Linked DNA regions of Drosophila melanogaster. The protein of the gene in region 4 interacts with the protein of the main gene of each other region in a pairwise test. Each region holds a gene or a part of one and is shown on either strand. Other genes may lie near its edges. The genes, in order: Archease, Nf-YC, CG16972 and DnaJ-1.

Region 1 (4,120 bases), on a different chromosome or scaffold from region 4:
ACAAACTTGGGGGTGCGAACAACTTTTAAATCCACTTAGAGGCGGCAGCCAGTCATGCAACGCGAGAGCAACAACGTATGATAATATTTGGCAATTCTTCAGTTTAGCGGTTGCATTTGCAACCAAGTTGACCAACGGTCAGTTATTTAACAAAACAAGTTACCTAGCTACTTAGTTTAGTTGAGTTTTCCGAACTCCCGAGCTTTAGTTTCACTTCCAGGCAATTTACTTCTGGTTGTTCCAAATATATAGTGTAGCCAAATATGAAATTCTGGAACTCGTACGCAAAGGCGCGCAAATATTCGAGAATAATAATAGCTTTACAGTTATTTGCGCCGAATACGCGACGTGAATCAGGCGAGCTCCCGTAGCCAACTGAACCACTCGAAGACGTAGGAAACCAGAGAAAAAGAGCTTCCACCAAAAGTGGCAGCAGCAGCCAAATGAGCCATAATAAAAAAAAAACCACAAAAATAGCAGGAAAATGTTTGAAAGCCATAATATGGCCGGGCACAAAATTGAGCTTTGTCAACTCGGCTTAGAGTTTGACACCCCCAAGTCGCGTTTCCTCATGTGCAAAATGAACAAAATTGAACAAAACGGTCGTAAATCACCAGCAGAAATCATTCATAAATTCCTTTAGAAATGCGTAGAATCATTTAATTGACCGAGATGCGCACTAACTGATAACCATTACTTAGCAAGTTATTATTAATATTATTTCATATAATTTTATAGCATGTTTGATAATAATTCATATTAATGTCCCAAAAGGTGAACAAAAAGTAAATACAAAATTCATTTGAAATAATACAAACACTTTAACTATAAAATAACTTTTCATTTCTCTTAACACACTAAATATTTCTTGAACTTTACATCAACGAGTTGAACGACCTTAGAAATAAATATTTCCTTCGCTGTCTATTTCAAACAATAACCCATCACCGCTGGTTGAAAAGTGATCTGAATTTAATGAGGCAATATTTATTAGACAATCCCATGTCCGTCAATGGGTATTATTCAAGTATGAAATCAAGTACTCACAGCCAGCGCTCAAGTTCATGGGATTGAATAAATCAAGCGACGTGATTGACAATCGTAACGATTGACGGCAATGCTGCCGGTAGGCCAGAAGAAGATTTTGTGGACTGTTTCTTTTGGCAAATGAAAATACAAGGTTGCAGCTTCAGTTGTTATGGCTGATTGCGATTTAATGAAAGGACAAGGTCGCTCTTACAGAAATTCAAAACTGGGCTGAAAACATGCGCCAGCACTTTGTAGCACTTTAAGTGCGATAACAAATGGTGGGCATAAACTGGAAATTCTGCTTTAATTTTGCTCAAAATTACTTAATTTTATTACAATCACAGCCTTTAGCACAATTTTATTTCTTTCGTTCTGTAACGTTTTTAGATATATTTTTTTTAACTAAAAGGGCCGTGGGAAGCATTTTGTAAACACTTTATTAAAGGAGGAAGCATTATTTTTATTTTTCTTCTCTTCTGATGTTGGAATCCTTCCCATTTGACATGCATATTTAAATTACAAGTTTTTTAAATTACAAAGTTAAAAATAAATGAAGCCTTTAGGTATTTTTAGATATTTTTAACAATTTCGAATTTAAAAGCTTGATAGAAACTTTTATCTTATAATTCAATCTTTATAATTTATAGTTTACTCTTTATTAAATAAAACCCAAATATTTCTTACAAACAATTTTATACATTTTATTAAAATTTGTATGTTAACATTTCCCGGTTTGAGCTCAGTATTTTCTGTAATTTGTATGTTAACAATTTCTTATTGGAGCTCGGTATATTCCTTTCAGTAGGTATTTTCCCCTGCGCATAGATGGTCACACTAAGCGGTTGCTGGTTTGTTTATAGTTTTTGTCCGCGAATTTTACTTTAACTTTAGCTATAACTAACAATAATGGAGGTGGAATTCAGTAGGGAGAACTTCCTGCTGCCGGAGATGAAGTACGAGTGTGAGTAGTTCTTCGATTTGCAGGAGAATAATCTGTTGCTAAATATTTCATCACATTGCGTTGCAGACCTGGATCACACGGCGGATGTTCAGTGAGTAAGATAACAACAAAAACAACAAGTGTGCCCGTTAGCCATGTGGAGTAGGGTGGTTCGCTATTTGTGAATGAAAAATCCAGATGATCGTATAAACTAGATTCTAATAAGCGCTTTCGTATTAGAATTTGAGATATAGCAAACATTCTGAAAAAGAATTTATTTTAATTTATACATATTTTAAAGCCATTATAATTTTTCATATTTTCCCAAACCTATGTATTATGTTCATAGTTAGGGAATACGGCTTTTTAAACGTCAAATGTATCTGCTTTTTTGAAGATTATATGTAATGCAAGTTTTTTCTGACTTTTATATTATACTACTATCGCTTAAAACAACAAGACTATTATTAAGTAGTAGATCATAAATAATTCTTTTACTACGCCACTAAAAGGCAGCAGTTTTGTATATAAATTATAACTTACGGCTACAATAGACATAATTAATTTACTTAATATAAACGGATGATGTTGGAATCCTTCCCATTTGACAGAATCCACGGATGGGGATCGTCGCTGAAAGAGGCGTTCGAACAGTGCGGAGTGGCCATGTTTGGATATATGACCGAACTGGATTACGTGTCCGTGGAGCAGTGCTTTGAAATCGAAGCGCATGGAGATGATCTGGAGAGCTTACTCTTTCACTTTCTGGACGAGCTGCTGTTCCTGTTCTCTGCCGAACCGTATCTGGTGTGCAAGAAGCTGGAGATCACCAAGTTCGATGTGGAAAACTTCGAGATTTCCTGCCATTGTTACGGGGAACCATTTGAGCTGGGGAAACATCCGCAGGGCACCGAAGTGAAGGCAATCACATACTCGGCCATGCAAATCATTCAGGACGTGGAGGCCAGCAACTACGAGGTGTTCGTGATAATTGACATTTGATCCAGCGGCGATCGCCGGGAATTAAATGTGACTGTTCTGTTTCAACCCCTTTGCCTGTCTCCATTAATCATAAGTGAAATGCCAAAAAACGATATAAAAACCGCTGCATAAGCCCCGAAAAATTTGCAATCTCTCGTGCTGCGACTGCATCCCTTGTCGATGAGGATGACTTATCAAGAAACCACTCGATTGTGCGGCTGCAAATGCAATTAGGACTGGCTTCCTTCTCACCGGTCTGATTCCGGAATCAAGATTTACCCTTTTGCCTTCGAATTTTTTGTGTACTATTCACTTTTTTTTTGCCCACTGCTTTGTGAATTGGCAACGTGTTGAATTCCCAGACAAATGCCGAATTTGTTGTCCTTTCCCAGGCCCCAGTTCAATGCACTTTTTATTCGGCAGCCTTCAGGAGTTGCTGACGCGTTGGGTTGCATTAAAGAATTAAGTTGTACTTCTTTTTGGGGAGTCATGTCGAATAGGGCAGTTAACAATGCAAGTCAAGGCCATAGTTTTAATGTTATGATTGACTTGATTTGTTCGACATAAAGTATAGAGAATGCGGGGCCTAAAAACACAAACATATTTTTTTATCAACAATAATTTAGTTCAATGAATGTAAATCGTAATAAATATCTATACGATTAAGCAATCCCTAATTCTAAATATCAATCCACGACGATATCAACAAATATTAACGCTTTTCAAAAAACCGATTTCCTTTGAATAACGCGCTATTCTCGAATCAGTATTATTCGGATGATTTTCGCGTGAGCCGATGTTATTTAGTGGCCGATGAGCGAAGTCAGCTGGTAACACCGAGCGATTTGTTTTGAAACAGCTGACCGCACCGTCAAAACCCAGAAAGTAAACAACAAAAAAAACATTTGCCGGGCAACGTCGCCCAACATATGGGCCCGTTCTTGTATTTGTGTGGGTGCGTGCGTGCACGAGTATGATGATTTTTCCTTGGAACATCGGGCGAAGAACGGCGAACTGAAAAATATACGCTTTTACAGCTGATTGATATTAAAAAAAAAGCAACGCTGCGGTCGACGAGCCATACGAATGAGCGTGCGAAAGAACAAACAAAGTATGAAGGCAAATAGCCCGCGGACACACACGCACACACAAACGGCCAGTTGGTCGATT
Region 2 (4,938 bases), on a different chromosome or scaffold from region 4:
TCGGTGTGGGCACCACCTGGCCTGGATGTGGACACGGTGAGTGGATAAAAAAAGTGAAATAGCTGAGTGCAAAATGTAAACCCACTAGCAGGGCTTCCACTTCGATGAAGCCGTCGCGGAGGAGGTGCTGACCATCGAACAGGAAGCCGAAGTGGAGACCGAGGACGGCAATGGTGGACAGGACAGCGAGGATATACCCACGGCGGAGGAGGTGCACGCCACTATGAAGCAGTTTCACCTGCGCAAGTGCCAGCCAGCACAGGATGAGGCCGCTCGTCGCGCCAAAAGTGCTCGTGTTCGTCGCCGAAACAAGTGAGTTCCCATCCCAGTGTCCGTTTCATATCTTAATCCCACGTTTTCCTTGGGCGCCAGAGTTTCGCCGGAGCAAAGCGATGATCCGGACGAGCGCAGCCAGCGGGGACGTTCCGCTTACACGCGGCGAACGCAATCGCCGCCCGATCCGCTGGAACCATGGAGCACCCGCGAACTGCAGGACATCAACAAGATCCTGGCCAGAAAGTGAATACAGTTAGCGCAGGAGTTTCTGGCACATAGTCCTTGGTGGCTTATAATTGTTTATCAGATCTTAGCTTAGTTAGAAGTACAAATACATAATAAAGAGCGCGGATGCCACGCGAAACGCTGGGTTATGCTTTGGACCGGTGGCATCCGTCACCCGTCACATACATACACTAATACACTCGATTTCCCATTATTCTCTCTAAGTGCTAGGTTTAAAAGTGGTGGAGGTGGCGGTTTTTTTTTTTGGAGAAGGTGAAACCTGCTGCCAGGGGGCGGGAGGGTCAGCAATAAATTACAATTGAGAAATCGTTTCTACACAGATGCCTACGACTTAGACACTAGCTATATATAATCTCCCCCGCGATATACAATCGTATACACCTACGTAAACTATAATATTATACATTGTGCTGGATGACAGGGGATGGCGCAATCAATGCCCGCTTGCCAATGCCCGATTCCAATGCCTCCCGATGCTTTCGATATGATTGCCAACTGTCCGTCTGTCCGTCCGTCCGTTGGTACGGATATCATACTTCCAGCTTTTACCGAAATCCGCCGGTTAATGTGCGATCCGTGGACATGGTGGAGATCGTTTGTGCCTGTTGCTGCTGCGCCGACTGCTGCTGCTGCGCCTGCGTCGCCGCCGCCTGGGCACCAGTCATGGTCGAGTTGATAAAGATCGGCGTGCCACTGGCCACCGCACTGGCGTTGCTCTGCTGCGTGAGATTGGCGTGCTGCTGCTGTTGCTGCTGCTGCTGATGGGCCACTGTGGGTGCTCCGCCCAGCTGGAGCAGTTGCTGTGTCGTCAGCAGTTGGGTTGGTATGATGACCTGTTGTTGCTGCTGCTGCTGTTGCTGCTGCTGTTGTTGCTGCTGCTGCTGCTGTTGCATTTGTAGTCGCTGCAGGAGATTCAAATGACTGGCATTGATGGCGATCTGCAATGGGAAAGGCAAGTCTTAATCTGGGATTCAATACAATTACCTCAAGTGATACCTACCGGCACATTAGTCAGCTCCCCCGTGGGCGTAACCACTTGCTGCAGCAGCTGAATCTGCTGCTGATGTTGCTGGTGCTGCTGTTGCTGCTGGGCGAGATTCTGGAGCAGCGCCGTCTGTTGCTGGGCAGTCGTTTGCGGCGCTGGCGTTGCGGTCAGCTGACCATTGGGACCGGCGGTCAGTATCAACTGCTGGGTGGGTTGTTGGGTTGACAAAATGTTGATGGGTAGATGATTCTGCGCGGGCTGCGGCTGCTGCACGAGCTGCGCCGCCTGCTGACTCGGCAGTGCGATAAAGTATTGCAACTGTTGGCCACCAGCGCCCTGCTGAATAATCTGAACCTGCTGTGGATGTGCCTGGTGATGTTGCTGCTGCTGTTGTTGCTGCTGCTGCTGGGCGGCGTGCTGTTGCTGCTGTTGTTGTTGCTGCTGCAGTTGCGCTGAGAAGATGTCCGAGTTGACAGTGCTGAAGCCGAGCACCTCGGCGGCATTGGTTGCACCCGTGGTGTCCAGCTTGAGGCCACCAGCGGTGGTCGCAGGTACGGTGGAACCACTGGCTACAAAGTTGCCCGTGGCGGTAGCATTGCCCGCCACGGAGGCGGCCGCATTGGAGGTGGCTGTGTTGGAGGTGGAGGCGGCACTGCTGGCTGCGCCCGCCATTCCGCTCGAACTGGATGTACTGCCATCCTTGGTCTTTTGCGCCGACGACGGTTTGATCTCTTCGCGCGGCACAATGTCGATGAGGAAGTCGAACTGGTCGTAGTTGGCTATGGCCTGGGCAATGTCCGAACGCTGGAGCGTACGCCGCCGGCTCTCCTCGGTGTGCACCCAAGCGTGCATAGTCAGCTCCTGAATGAAGTACTCGCAGGCTTTGGCAAACAGTAGCGGCGCCTCGCCGGCAATCATCTTGGCGTTCTCGTCCAGCTTCATGATTTTCTTGATGCGCGCCAGCGGCAGCACCTGGTGCTTGGCATCCACCTGGCCGATGCTGTGCACCTCGCTCACGATATTTGGCCAGAAGTTGTCGATGGTGGGCGGCGGTTTGCGTGCCACCTGAGTTCGTGTGGCCTTCGTGGTCTTCTCCTTGGCGCCGCTCGCAACGGTGGTGGCCACCGTCACACTCATGCTGGGATTAACCAGCGTACAGGCGTTGGACACCAAACTGGCCATGGGAACCGTCTGCTGTTGCTGCTGGCCCTGCTGTTGCTGCTGCTGCTGGGCGGAGGAGACGGTGGAGGAGGAGGTGACCACCACTGCATTCGGTGTTCTTCGCTGCATAGCCGCTGAATTTTGCGATTTGGCATACGCCTGGCCCAGTTCCATCTTTATGGGCGTCACTGTGATGGTGTTGTCGAACATGGAGGTGGCATTGCTGTAGGGCATTCACATTAGTTTCATTCAAATTATTTGGCATGCACAAATCGCAGAATGAAAACAAAAAGGATCGGCGCACACACTAAAAATCTCGGCTGTACCGCCTGTTTTTTTGGGGGAGGGGCGCTAGATTTTGCTGGCGGAGGCGGAACTTACCTGTTTGGCGCCTTGTTCGTGCCGCCATTGTTGGTGGCGTACATGGCCCGGTTGGCTGGAGACCTTAGCTCGGCGTTGGCGGCAACCGTGGGACTCTGGCGACCGGCTCGAGTCCACAATATTCGCTTTAATTAGCTTCTAATTCGCAAAGCAAATGCGTAATGTAATGCACACACACACACATGCATACACGCGAGCGTCAGTGTGACCAGGCGGCGGTGAGGGCGAAAACTGGACAGCCCGATAACGATAGCTTTTAGTCGGGCTAACTGGCTACTTCCAAGCCACATTTAGCCGGCACAATCGACAATCGCATTCTGCCCGCTTTCAAGCCAGATCGGACAGCACTTACCGCTGATAAGGAATGCATCGAATCTAAACTACAATCCCAATCCCTGAGAGAAACGAAGATGAAGGACCTCTTCTGGCACCTGGTGGGCATAGCCACCGGCCTAAAGATCCTGCTGATTCCAGCCTAGTAAATGCAGTGCTCTGTCCACTTATCAAGCCCACTAAATCAACTTCATCCTTAGCCATTCCACGGATTTCGAAGTCCATCGCAACTGGCTGGCCATCACCCACAGTTTGCCGCTGAATCAGTGGTATGTGGACGCCACCAGCGAGTGGACACTGGACTATCCGCCGTTCTTCGCCTACTTCGAGTGGCTGCTCTCGCAGGTGGCCAAGTACGTGGATCCACGAATGCTGGTGGTGGATAACCTGAATTACGAGTCCAAGGCCACCGTTTACTTTCAGCGGCTCTCGGTGATTGTTACGGATCTAGTGTATGTGCTCGGCGTGCGCAGCTGCCTGGGCTCACTGGGATTGGGCAGGGATACGCAGCAGTTCTTTGCCGCCTCCATGTTGCTGCTCCTCAACGTGGGATTGATCTTCGTGGACCACATTCACTTTCAGTACAATGGCTTGCTGTTCGGCATACTGCTCCTGAGCATCGGTTCCCTCATCCGGCAGCGGTTCCTCTGGAGCGCCTTTGCCTTCGCCGTGCTGCTCAACTTTAAGCACATCTTTCTGTACATGGCGCCCGCTTTTGGGGTCTACCTGCTGCGTTTCTATTGCCTGGAGCAAGCGAGTGTGGTGTCTGCGGTGGGTGCCGTTGTCAAGCTGCTGGTCGTTGGACTTACTCCGTTCGCCGTGTCTTTCGGACCCTTCTGGCAGCAATTGCCGCAAGTCCTCTCCCGTCTGTTTCCTTTCAAGCGTGGCCTAACGCACGCCTACTGGGCACCCAACTTCTGGGCGCTGTACAATGCCGCCGACAAGTTGGCCGCCGGAGTTTTGAAGGTACAGGATGGCGGTGCCTCGACGACGTCAGGATTGGTCCAGGAGGTCAGGCACTCGGTGCTGCCAGCCATCACACCGCCTGTGACTTTTGCCCTGACCGCTCTCTTCATGCTGCCCATTTTGGTGAAGCTCTTTCGCAGTGCCAAGAAGTGAGGAAATCCTCGTTTGGATTCCAAGATATCGCAGCAAACTTATCCGCCATCTCTTTGCAGACAAAGTCCGCTGGTCTTCCTGCGAGCGGTGGTTTTGTGCGGCTGTTCCTCCTTCGTCTTCGGCTGGCATGTGCACGAGAAGGCCATCTTAATGGTGCTCCTTCCGCTCTGGTGAGTTCCCTTCCCCTCAGTTAATTCGAAATGAAGGAATCCTACTAACAGGCCCACCCTTTTTCAGTCTGCTCACGCTGGTAAACCGGGAGGATGCCAGATACGCCTATGTCCTTGGCATTGCCGGCTATTTCTCTCTCTTTCCGCTGCTCTTCGATGCGGATCTGTACATTCCCCGGTATTCCCTGTACATGTCGTACGTGGCCATGATGTACGGCCAGCTGTATCGCATCTTCCCCGGCTTCCGAGGCTTCCACACGCTGGAGT
Region 3 (7,772 bases), on a different chromosome or scaffold from region 4:
AGAAAAAATAAAAAGAACGAAAGAAACAAAAACACTTATTTCAAAATAGCGCATAATAAAGGCTACTACTCTCCGACTTACTTACGACTAAAATGATTGTTAGGACTACAGGGCTTAACACGCAACTTATTATAGTTTCCTATATTTGAACTATACTTGGGCAGACAGCCAAAAGCACATTTATAGATCGGGTATTCTGGGTGATATTCAAACATGGGTTTGTGTGAAAAAAAAAAACAAAAACTTTGTTCAAGGCCGAGACTCTCCACATTTCTAGTTCCGCGACACAGGTCTACGCCGATTGGGTCTGCTGGACAGCCAATTTCAACATGTGATTGGCGATACTATCTACAGTTAGGGATTGCGGGGACATCTCGATCACTTGGGACTTGTGGCGGGCATAAAAACGCTGAGCTCCATTGATTTGCGGCGCCAAATAGGTTAGCTGTCTCGGATCGGCGGCACTTATCCAGGCTTCGTCGTTCGATGCTGACTTGATGATCAGATGATCACCGGTGTTAACGCCCTCCGTGGCATCGTCGAATTGCGGCGATGGTAAGCGGTGGACCTGCAGCAGGCGGTGCGAGGGCGTGGCATGGGAAAGCTCACAGGCGATCACATGCACCTCAGACGGTTTGTTTGGTTCTTTAAGCAGCTGATAAAGCACCAGCATGCTGCTTTGGTCCAAGTCGAGGCTAGGATAGTGCGTAGCAGCCAGGCAACGGCCCAGCGGCCGGCCCAAGTCGTAGTTCATCAGAGTATCGCCGCTGCGATGATCCCAGACGGTGATGCGCATCTGGCCGTAGCCGATAAGGCGATCCTCTGAAAGGCACTCAATGTGACGCAGCTCGTGGCGCAACTGCTTAAACTCCCGTATGGAGGCCAGCGTATCCAGCGTGGGCGTCAGTGAATATTTGCAAATGCCCGAGCGCGACTTGCCCATCACCAGTTCCTGCTGCCATGCCATAACGAAGTAACGCGAATCCGCTATAGTTGTGTATATGACATGCGGCCATTCGCTAAATAACGAAAGTTGTAGGTTACGTCATTGAATTTATGCATACTGCGTGATAGTCCTCACCAATTGACAGCATCCAAGTGCACAGAGTGCATACGGGGTCGTAGTTCCTCCTCGCAGAAGTAATACACATTCACATGTAGCGAGGTTAGCTTCACCTCCCTCTTGTGATGGTCCAGCGGCCTGCTTCGCATTTCCAGGTACACCGGCGTCGAATTGTGCACGCAAATGCGGCTGCCAAACGGCGTAAAGATCTCTTTCTCTGTAATGCATCAAAGAGGCTAGAAAGATTCGTAAAGTGTATAAATGATCATAACCCACCGCTAGTCAGGCGCCGCACTCTGCCCAGGTAAACCCATCGCGGGCCCATTTTCAACTCCTGCTCGACGTCTTTGGGCTCGCGCGAAGGTGTTTGAGGCAGCTTTGGAGATGGAGATTTTCTGGCGCCATCAAAGGAGGGATTATGTCGCGGTTGATGCAGCACGTTGAACACTTTGGAGTACTTCCAGAAGGTAATGCAATTCTCCTGCAGCACAATGAGCTGTTCCAGCTCGTAGTACATATAGAGAACCTGGCCGTGCTTGGCAGAAAGTGGATTTGCTAGCGTCGCGGATCCCTGACTGAGTCGCAGCAGGCCCCCAGGAGGGGTGGCCAGGACTAAGTCAGCTGGATTGACTTTTCCGGCTTGCTGGCGAGGGCGATGTGGCTCCGTATTCGGTGGCGGTGTTGTTGGGGATGGCGGGTAAATAAGCACGGGCTGTGCATAAGGCGATTGAGCGACGGAGGGGGAATGAACGAAGGTCTTGTCAGCGGCTTCTTTGGCTGTGGAGTTGACCAGATGGCTGTGTGTAGGCGCGAATGTGTTGGGCACTTCTGGTGCCAGGTCAGCGAGCCTCAATACATTGGCATTAGGAACGGCTGCCACAGGCTCAGTCACCCTTTCAATATTCGAAGGCAGTGACTTGGCTCGTGCTCGCTTGGTCCGTTTAGTAAGGCGACTAGATTTCATTGCACTTGTCGTGTCAGTTTCAGTCTCCTTGACACCTTTCATCTTTCGGGGAGAGTTTGGCGGAGCCAATTGCTGTTGCTCCAAGCGATGTTGCTCAGGAAGACTTTTATCTGCCGGCTTCTTTAACGACGTCCGTGCTGCCTTGGGCATTGGAGCCTTTTTGGTGGTTTGTGCTGCACCGCCAGCCATCCGTTTCGATCGTCCCTGAGCCATTTCGTCCGACAGGGCGTAGCTCTTGAGCAGACTAACCTTGCGGCTACGAAGTAGCTTCGAATTAAGATGCGTGGTGGAGCGGGTAACCAAATCGCGTGCACGTGCTTCGTTCCCGAGACTGGATGCACCCATTGTAGTGCGGCGTCGTGGTGTAGCGGCAACAGGTTTGGTGGCTCCATGGGTTTTCCTATGTTTTGATTTTTTGGGTGTATCAACTGGTAAGGGGGCTGGAGTTTCCTTATCTGGACTGGTTATTGTAGGACTTTTCTTCGCTGGCTGGGAAATGACAGAAGGATGCGGCGCGCTTACGTCACCAAAGCCGCCGATTAAGTTCAAGGGCGCCGGTGAGATGTGAGACTCCTGCCTGCTGTGTGATGGATTCGGGGGCGAGGCATTGCTTGTAGCCTTAATAATATAAATTGATGGCTTCGTCTCACGCGCCTGGCGCAAGCGTTGCTGCATGCTCTCCAGCAGCTTGGATTGGGCAGGTGCGGCAGCCTCGAAGATCTTAGTAAAAGCCGCCTCAACGGACTGAACCCGACCCTTCTCAGACTCATTGTCTATCTGATGTTTCTGATAGCCGTCGCCATCAATGATGGATCTATGACGTTGCGGCTCCTGTCCTTTGAGCGATGGACGCCTCTCTACATCCTTTAAGGACTTGGAACTGGCTATAAAGTCGGTGGTTTTGGGTGACCTCTTCGTAGAGCATTCTTCCTCTTCCGCAAAATAAGAGTTGTACAAGTGATTCAGTTTTCGCTTATGCTCTGCAGGCATTTGAGAGTTGAAATGGACATCCGCATCCCCCGCCATCCTTGAAACGGATTCTGATGTCTGAGGCGGGGAGGGTTCTTCTTTATCGGTGCTAAGCTCACTACTTGTGGTCAACGGTATCTTCTTGTCCTTATCCTGCTGCCTATCTCGCTCCCTTTCGCGCCGCTTGCCACGCACATCACTACGCATCCTGTCCAGTTGCTGTTGTGGTCTCACCCGCAGCGATCGGCGAGGGATAGTGCTGTTGGCTAGTTCCCTCATTGCGGTAGCCACGGCATTTGCTGTTGACAGTTCGGTGAGACCCAGATAGTTGCAGAATTCCTGTTGCTCATTCGGATACTTAACGTAAGGCCCCTGATTCCCTTCCATTTGCATCTCTGTAATTTAAATTAACCAATTAAATTTGCAATAAAATACAAATAAAAAGTCTTACGTTGGGGAGCCTGTGGCAGTTCCTCGTAGTGATACATCTGTGGTTGTTGGTTCATCTTTTGCTCCATAAACTGCTGTTGCTGTTGCATTGTTTGCACCTGCTGACGCATAACATCTAATACAGCTTTGGTTAGTTGTTGGTCTTCTGATGGCCCACGGTCGCTTAAGTTCGCCTGCATAAAATCAGTAAGTCCTGCCGGAGCAGTTGGACAAGGTTGAGCATGGGATAAGGATGCGTCTAAATTCGCAGCGGATGAACCCGCCGTTTGAGTAAGCGCGCTTCTCTCCAAGTCTGCTGTAGATGTTTCCTTGGTAAGGTTCCGCTGCTCGAAATTCGGTGAATCCGTGTTCTTTATGTCATCAACAACTGGCAGCACTATCTCTTCTTCCTCCGGCTGTTGATTATCCTGTAGCTCCTCTTCGGGTATCAATGTGGTGACAGAGGCTTTTTCCATGCCGACCACCTCGTAGCAATCGTCGTCATCATCATCTAGCACAATTGTCTCCTCGGTGGGCAGAATGTGCAAATAGCGACGATACACCGGCCGTTCCGCCGACTGAGAGCTGGCAAGCTCTTGAGTGGATTCGTCTGAGGTTTGCATGATTTCACGGCTGATCTTCTCCATATTCCGGACCAGTGCTTCACGGAATTCGGCAAAGTTAAGCTGTTTGAGTGATGCGGTAACAGCCTCATATTGCTTGAAGGCAGCTTCAAAGCCTTCCACATCCTCGACATCGGCCCACTCTTCCCTGGGTGCCGTTTCCCAGTTGGAGACTTTCTCGGCGGGACTCATCTGCGGCTGAGCCTGACAAATGCTTGCCAGTCTTCGATCCATAGCCTCTCCATGGAGCGTATTCTTCATCAGCGGCGGATACTTTCGCTTCAGTGGAGCCACTTTGGATGGAGAGCGGCCGCCCGTTAACTCATCCTCATAGTCGTAGTGGTCACTGGCGTTGGGCATGGAGGATGAGCTGACGGGAAATTCCGTGGGACTGCTGTGTTCGCGAAGCAACTTTCTTTGCGGATTATTTGGCAGCGGCTCCTGTCCCTCGAATGCTACAATGTCGATAGGCTGGGCTGGTTCTTCCTGGATGACTGCGTCCTCGCATTCTTCATCGTCGTGGTCCTCCAGTTCGTGATCATACACCTGACAAATATCTGGGCGTTCCTCCTCCATCGGTGTATCGTCTAAGAATGTGGCGTTTTCGTTTTCCTCCGGAGCCTCGTCGTCGACCAGATCCTGGTGCACTAAAGGCTGTTCTAGCGCTGCATCACTAAGGTACACATTGTTTCCAGCCGCCAATCGTGCCTCGGCCACACCCATATCCTCCACGACCTCCTCGATGTAGGCAGTCCCATTGAGACACTCATTCGCATCACTCTCCTCGGACAGCAAGCCCAGCAATGCACCGGTACCGTTTCCGGCCATCATGATGGCCCTGGCGAACTCCTGCTCGCATGCCACTCCCTGGGTAGCTACTATGATCTCACAGCAGTGTTCTTCTCCTAAAACGACCATGTTCTCTCCATCCACAGCCTCATAGATCACACACTGCTCCCCTTCTTCGGCCACCTGAAGTTCATGTTCAGCCTCATCATTCTCGTGGGACAGCATTTCGAACTGGTCAACATTGCCATTTGTCAGCAGCATGCCGGGGCTTAGTGCAATGCCCGGATCCTGGACAGATTCGGGTGAGTCTAAAAAACAAGAAAAGTATGCGATTGAGTGAGTTTACCATATTAGATATTTCATATTTTCAATTGGGATAAATGTTCATAATCAATTAAATGGAAGAGATTTCCTTGTATAGTTAATGGAACAGATTAACAAACCGTTGATCTCGATGACCTCGTGGCTGCTGTACGAACGTTTTGCCGGTGTGCAGGTGGCCCATACTGGGGCTTGGTGTGTCTCTTCGGTCATCATCATTTGCCGGCGAAGTCCGAATATTAAGGGTTCATTCTGAGGGACGAAACTGGAAGACGGCTGCTCCTCCGGCCAGCCCTTGAAGCCGCTGCCACTCGAGATAAAGCTGTGGGTGTCCGAGTCGTCGGAGATCACGTGCAGGTTGCTGTCCACGGCGGGGTCCAGATCTGCTCCCGTCCTCGAGGATCTGGTGACAGATGCAACAAGATCCGTGGGATACTCCCGATCCTCAGCCACGTCCGATGCGTCGCCTGGAGCTTCGCTGGCCGTATCTATCTCGTCGCCTTCCAGCGGCGAGTACCGGTTCAGTAGGTGTTCCTCCGCCGCTACGTAGGCCATCAGGCTGGCTTCTCTTCTGGACATCGCGTTGGTACGGGGAATGGGATTGGGATTATCTAGCCCTCGTCGACTCGTTTAGTAATTGTGGTAGGATTTCTTGTAAATTTAGCACGTGAAATTTAAAAAATATACTTGATGCTGTCTACAAAACAATGCCCGAACTGACTGTGGACGATCATGATTACATTATCATGGCTTGGTCGGTTTCCTTCGATTGTTATTTTTCGTATATCTGCGTGCTGTGCGTTGTATATTTCTTATTTGATAGGCTTAATATTTTAAGTTGCTTTATCCTGTGTGACCGTGGGAAACACCGTAGTATTATCTCACATCGCCATGGCCAATATGCCTCTTAAAATACCATCGGTATTATTTTTACAGTGGGATCAATCAATAAAATATACCTTTAAAATGAAAAAAAAAATTTTAATTGTGAATGTTATTAGTAGTGTTCGTTGTTTAATTCTATGACACTTTTTTTTTAATAATTGTTGTGACAATATTTACATTTATTTATAAACAAAACACTTTGTTATATCCTAAAATATTATACATTTCATTGGGGTGATCGACTCATAAGGATTTAATAGAGTTAATACCCTTTTAACGTATAATAATACAGATTTGTACTTGCTTAATATAAAAGTTCTAGCTTAGTAACATAAAATTTGCCAATTTAAAGTTATTCCCAATATATCTCGATCAGCTGTTGATGTTTACAAAATCCGCGTTAGCTGGTATTCATCGCACCAGGCATATGGTATATTTGGACAAACACCGATGCGGCCACTCTGCTCTCACGGTACTCGAAATTGTGAGAAAAGAAATGAAAGAATCTAAAAAAAAACCCAAGCTAAACACACCGCACTTACGCCCCAAAGAAGTTCCCATGCGCCCGCGCGCTGATAACGCAAGTCTGAGAATCTGAGACCAATTCCGCTCCGAGTCTGAACGTGAATCCGAGTCCGAAACCGATAACGAAAACTGAACTGAGTAGCTCGGTCGTGAAATGGGAATTGATATATAGCGGGCGTCGTCGTAGCTCAGAACAAATAACTTACAGCTCTCGAAGCGTGAACGTCGCTGTCGTCGAGTTTCCGCCTTCAAAACGAGCACTGAAAACAGAAACATACTCTCCGGAATCTAATGTTCGCCCGTTAGCCGGATTCTAAATTAAAATTAAATTAAATTGTGAAAATTCAATAAGTCAACGATGGAGGCAAATGGCGATACCAGCGCCTGCAATGGGTATTCGGACAAGCAGCGGAAGGATGTGCGCGTCTGGTGCGATGGATGGTGAGTCATCTACATTACATTTAGGGGCCTCCAGGAATTCGGTCCACAATGTCTAACGGTTCTTAGGGCAGCCCATTGCGTCACGTCGTTACTCACCGCTAACGGTAAAGTGAGTCAAAGCATAACCATTCCGCGTCGGTGCCATCGATTCCATGCCACACCACGGCCAACCGAACCCTACTATTTCAATTCCAATTTGGTTTCCAATACCAATAACCGTAATCAGTCGACGATAAACTAAACCCCATTTTTAGGCGTGCTAAGAAGCGTCCAGGGTTCCTCAATTGATTAGCAAATCTTTGTGAAACGGTGCCGTCTCGCTGCCCGTTCCAAATATCCACCCATTGCCGTCGTCCGGCTGAAATGTCTACATAATTCAGGTTCAAGGTCTCTCGGATCCGAAATGTCCATATTCTCCACGCTTGACCGGGACATTTGGCATTATATTTATATTTATACGCTATGCAATCTATTTATAATTGTACGCTTACAGTGGCTATTCTAAAACAGATTACTCAGAGAAAATGTTTAATTTGCCTTTTCCGGCGATACTCGCACTCTTTATGGCGCTTAAGCTAACAACAATACATATATCCCAAATTAGTTTGCACAATAATTAATTGCTATATGTGATAAACCGGGTGTTCGGTTCATCTAATGCATCTATGTATTTTAGATCCGCATATAGATACTATTGACGCACTTTGCCTTGTTTTGGGCACCATCAAATGGTTCTATAGGCATTGCGTTCCCCCATATATAT
Region 4 (4,399 bases):
AACAAATAACAGGATAATGGGGAGTAATGTAAGCTATTGACTGGGTTACAATCAGGGGTCTGATAACAATCAAACATTGTCCAGTTGCCTTTTGCGAATATCAATGACCACTCACGAGTTGCAACTGATAACGATTATCGCCGCACAATGCAGTGGGTGGGTATTTCACTGGGGGGAACTTTTGGGTCCCTAGAACCCAGACGGATTACTCAATGAATATAGGCGATATGTTTGGGTTTACAGCGAAAGTGCTATTAATGTCGACCGTATGCTCTCTTCGATGTGCCAGCTCTCTATTTGCGGGAATGAATGACTATTTTTATGGGTCTGCCGTCGCTGCTACAATGCTGCATTGCTGCAGTGGGACATCCTTTGAACAGGCGCCATGCCAAAGGATATTCTTTGTGGAAGGGGGGGGGGGGGCAAGGGTTAAGGGTCACATTCGTTTGCGCAATACTTCCAGCGATGGGGCGGTGAACGGTGGGCGGGGCGATCGGTCAAGGCTTCGACTGTGGAACGTGACACGCATATGTCGGCCGGAGTTTGGCCCAAAAAGTGGCCCCAATGGTTGTCCTTCGCGCTGGCAATTAGTCCCTAGCAAGGCGCGTCCATATTTTGCAAAAATTCGTGGGGCGCCTTGTTTTCTTCTCTCTGTATGTGTGCATGTGTGTGTACCTCCGTCTCACTCACCTCAAGTGTGTGTGTGTGTATGAAAATACTGCGGTATACGGCTGCGTTTGTGTGTGAGTGTGGGTTTCGGCTCTACTCTCCCGATGATCCTGCTCCTCCGGTCCTAATCCCGGCCTGCTCGGCTGCTCCTGCGTCCTGACTGCGCTAGAAATTCGCTTAAAACGAGCCTCGACGGGTCATTTTTACAATTGTTTTTTGTTGTTCCGTTCGGCTGTTTTACCAGACGTGCTCGTTCCGGTGTGACTGCCCGCCGCTGACTGTAAAATACTAAACGCATTGCAGCTGTGGCAATGCCCAAGTCTTGGTCTTACGGTCACACTGGCAAAGTTTAAAAATTTATTTATTTCAACTTTCAGTTACTTTTCGTTGGCTTGAATATTACACTAAGAATTCAATTTGACACTTGCAATTTATACATTGTATATTATAATATATTATATGTATTATATTTTATATCATATAAAGATATTTATATCTATTGATCTTTTGATTATAAGCTCTTTGGTTGAACAATATAAGTGCAACTTTCTCCATCACCTTCCTATCTTTTTACAATATGCTTACCTCGTCAATACGTTTTTTCTATTTCAAATATTTCAATATTTCAAAGAAATATTTTGTTTATTTTTCTGTGTGTTTTTAAGCAATCTGACCCCTGTAGAAGAATCCCTTATAATATTAACAAATGTATCCTCAAAATAGATCGATCTCTATCTTCGCAGACTTACACGAAACATTCCAGAACCGATAGTTTTATGCGATATATGAGATTTAAGGAGTACTTTCCGCATTTCGCCATCACAGTCACGCTTTCCTTGGCATTTGCAATCAAATAAGCGCTAATAATAATCGTAAAAGCATAAGAAGCATATAAAGAAGAGTCACCGCCAAAAGCATGCACAAATATATATAAATGGGGAGCGATTTAAAAACAGTGCACTGTGTTTAAAACATCGACAGCTATCGGTTAGCATATCGATATTGACATTCGCAGTCAAACGTTTTCGAGATACAACCCTAAAATCCGAGAAGCATCCAGAAATTTCGACGTAGACGAGGGCGAACCTATAAAATGAGGTTGACGCACGAATCCCGCTCATTATTAAACAAAATTTTGAAGAGAAAGAAACTCTGAAGTAGGGTGTGTTTTTAGTGCGCAAGCCACATTTGGTGGATAAAGAAAAAAGCGAAGAAGAACAATTGAATTGAATCAATTGCGAGAAAGAGACAAAACTCATAAATATTTAAAGAACATTGCCCCGTGAAAATATAAATAGTGTGAATACACAGTGAACAATACCAACAATTGCACTTTGCCATTGCATTTTGCACTTTTCCACTTGGATTTTTGAACTTTTACGGATTCCCAGACAATCGCTTACATTTAAGGTAAGCTTCGTTGGACATATTGCCACATGTGGGCGCATCGATTTGATCTGCTGAAAGAAGCACATCGGGAGCGGAGCTCTCGTTGATGGTGACTACATACGTCACTCGCGTGACAACACGGCAGTTGCACAACTGTGCTGTTCTGTGCTTCTAGCACTTTCCATCGCCCCAACCCAGCAAGCTGGCAATCAGTATTCATTCTAATCTATAGCGTTCGTTCGTTTGTGTTTCCCCTATATTTTCAGCTGAGAGATGGGCAAAGACTTCTACAAGATTCTGGGCCTCGAGCGCAAGGCCAGCGACGATGAGATCAAGAAGGCCTACCGCAAACTGGCACTCAAATACCATCCCGACAAGAACAAGAGCCCACAGGCGGAGGAGCGCTTCAAGGAGATCGCCGAGGCGTACGAGGTGCTGTCGGACAAAAAGAAGCGCGACATCTTCGACAATTACGGTGAGGATGGATTGAAGGGCGGACAGCCGGGACCAGATGGCGGCGGTCAGCCGGGAGCGTACACTTACCAGTTCCACGGCGATCCGAGGGCCACATTTGCCCAGTTCTTTGGATCGTCGGATCCGTTTGGCGCGTTCTTTACCGGCGGCGATAACATGTTTAGTGGCGGTCAGGGCGGCAATACCAACGAGATCTTCTGGAACATTGGCGGCGACGATATGTTTGCCTTTAATGCCCAGGCACCCAGTCGCAAGCGCCAGCAGGATCCGCCCATCGAGCATGATCTGTTCGTGTCGCTGGAGGAAGTGGACAAGGGATGCATCAAGAAGATGAAAATCTCACGCATGGCCACCGGAAGCAATGGGCCGTACAAGGAGGAGAAGGTGCTGAGGATCACAGTGAAGCCGGGCTGGAAGGCCGGTACCAAGATTACCTTCCCCCAAGAGGGTGATTCGGCGCCAAACAAGACGCCAGCTGACATCGTCTTCATCATTCGCGACAAACCGCATTCGCTGTTCAAACGCGAGGGAATCGATCTAAAGTATACAGCCCAGATCAGTCTGAAGCAGGCCTTGTGCGGAGCACTGGTTAGTGTGCCCACGCTGCAGGGCAGCAGGATACAGGTGAATCCGAACCACGAGATCATCAAGCCCACCACAACGCGCCGGATCAACGGACTGGGTCTGCCGGTGCCCAAGGAGCCATCGAGGCGCGGCGATCTGATCGTCTCCTTCGACATTAAGTTTCCCGACACACTGGCACCCAGTCTGCAGAATCAGCTGTCCGAGCTGCTGCCCAACTAGGCTAGAGCTGTGCCAGCCACACACACACACACACACACGCATATAATTGTTATCACTTTAGTTAAGGCCTATATTTAATTTACCGTACGTACTCGTAAGACAACTTAGCCTAACCAATTGTAGCCCTAAGCTAGTGAGTGTGCCAAGCGAAGAGCTGTAGATATTGGCCGAGGATGCAAGCGCTGGATAGGATTAGGAAAGAGAACAACACACACACACACACACACATAAAGCAGCCCGTGTAGCCCGTTTCGTGTTGGAGACTGATCGATTATTAGCTATTTAGCATTACACAAATTCCATAAGTTGTTTTGTTTACCGCCACATGAATCGGTGCCTCAACATCTTATACATAATAATCCCAAAACAAAATATTAAATAAATGAGGTATTATAAATTTAAAGTAACTAACCATTTTTCAAGCAAAGCACATTTTCGGCATTCCAACACGGGGAGGTTACATCAGTTAGTAGAACACTTATAGATTTATACGCCGTAAGGACATAGTACGTTTTAGTACCAATTCTATTATGTTATAAACAATAAAATTACTTATACACACATCAAGTGTCGTTTCTGGGTCAGTGGGTTGCAAGCATTATAGAAATTGCTAGATTTCACGTGGTGGCAATCAAAATGTGGTGGCTAAAACCAAAACAACATGTATTGCTGGCAATTTCTTCTATTTTTAAATATATATAACTAGCGCGCCAAACAATTCAAAAGTCTCCACATGTGGAAACTTCCAGAGGGCAACACGCCACCTGGCGTGTATAGATCGTGTGTTACATTTCAAAAACCATCTGGCATCACTGGCAACGTTTGTTTAAAACGTCGAGTGGAAAAGATGAAATTTAAAATAAAATCGTTGTTTAAAATCCTTTTTCCAAAACCTGAAATCCCCGAAAGCCAAAAAGAGAATCAATAAAAAGAAATTCCATGTTAATTTTATTTTAAATTTCACATTTTATTTTCATTTGTTTTCTCTTCAAAAGGATTTCGTAATTTAATCATTTGTCACACATTTTCACTATCCTTATGTTGAGTGTTAAGTTGCATTTGC

The links.
Region 1: the proteins of DnaJ-1 (region 4) and Archease interact in a two-hybrid assay, tested with the Drosophila melanogaster proteins (one large-scale study listed by BioGRID).
Region 2: the proteins of DnaJ-1 (region 4) and Nf-YC interact in a two-hybrid assay, tested with the Drosophila melanogaster proteins (one large-scale study listed by BioGRID).
Region 3: the proteins of DnaJ-1 (region 4) and CG16972 interact in a two-hybrid assay, tested with the Drosophila melanogaster proteins (one large-scale study listed by BioGRID).

The regions. Positions count from the first base shown.
Region 1 is NT_033777.3:21,660,680-21,664,799, reverse strand, and holds Archease (archease), read left to right. Parts: upstream 1-1,827; 5' UTR 1,828-1,935; coding exon 1,936-1,990; intron 1,991-2,056; coding exon 2,057-2,081; intron 2,082-2,580; coding exon 2,581-2,971; 3' UTR 2,972-3,614; downstream 3,615-4,120. UniProt on the Drosophila melanogaster protein: Component of the tRNA-splicing ligase complex required to facilitate the enzymatic turnover of catalytic subunit RtcB.
Region 2 is NC_004354.4:6,817,634-6,822,571, forward strand, and holds Nf-YC (nuclear factor Y-box C), read right to left. Parts: upstream 3,287-4,938; 5' UTR 3,094-3,286; coding exon 3,050-3,093; intron 2,892-3,049; coding exon 1,523-2,891; intron 1,461-1,522; coding exon 1,068-1,460; 3' UTR 545-1,067; downstream 1-544. Other genes in the region: iav (inactive), read left to right, coding at 1-36, 92-312, 373-523; xit (xiantuan), read left to right, coding at 3,460-3,527, 3,583-4,497, 4,561-4,671, 4,739-4,938.
Region 3 is NT_033779.5:13,197,264-13,205,035, forward strand, and holds the start of CG16972 (uncharacterized protein), read right to left. Parts: upstream 6,033-7,772; 5' UTR 5,738-6,032; coding exon 5,281-5,737; intron 5,146-5,280; coding exon 3,448-5,145; intron 3,392-3,447; coding exon 1,340-3,391; intron 1,281-1,339; coding exon 1,082-1,280; intron 1,020-1,081; coding exon 293-1,019; 3' UTR 1-292. Other genes in the region: Pect (phosphoethanolamine cytidylyltransferase), read left to right, coding at 6,927-7,009.
Region 4 is NT_037436.4:5,749,526-5,753,924, reverse strand, and holds DnaJ-1 (DnaJ-like-1), read left to right. Parts: upstream 1-1,735; 5' UTR 1,736-2,331; coding exon 2,332-3,336; 3' UTR 3,337-3,896; downstream 3,897-4,399.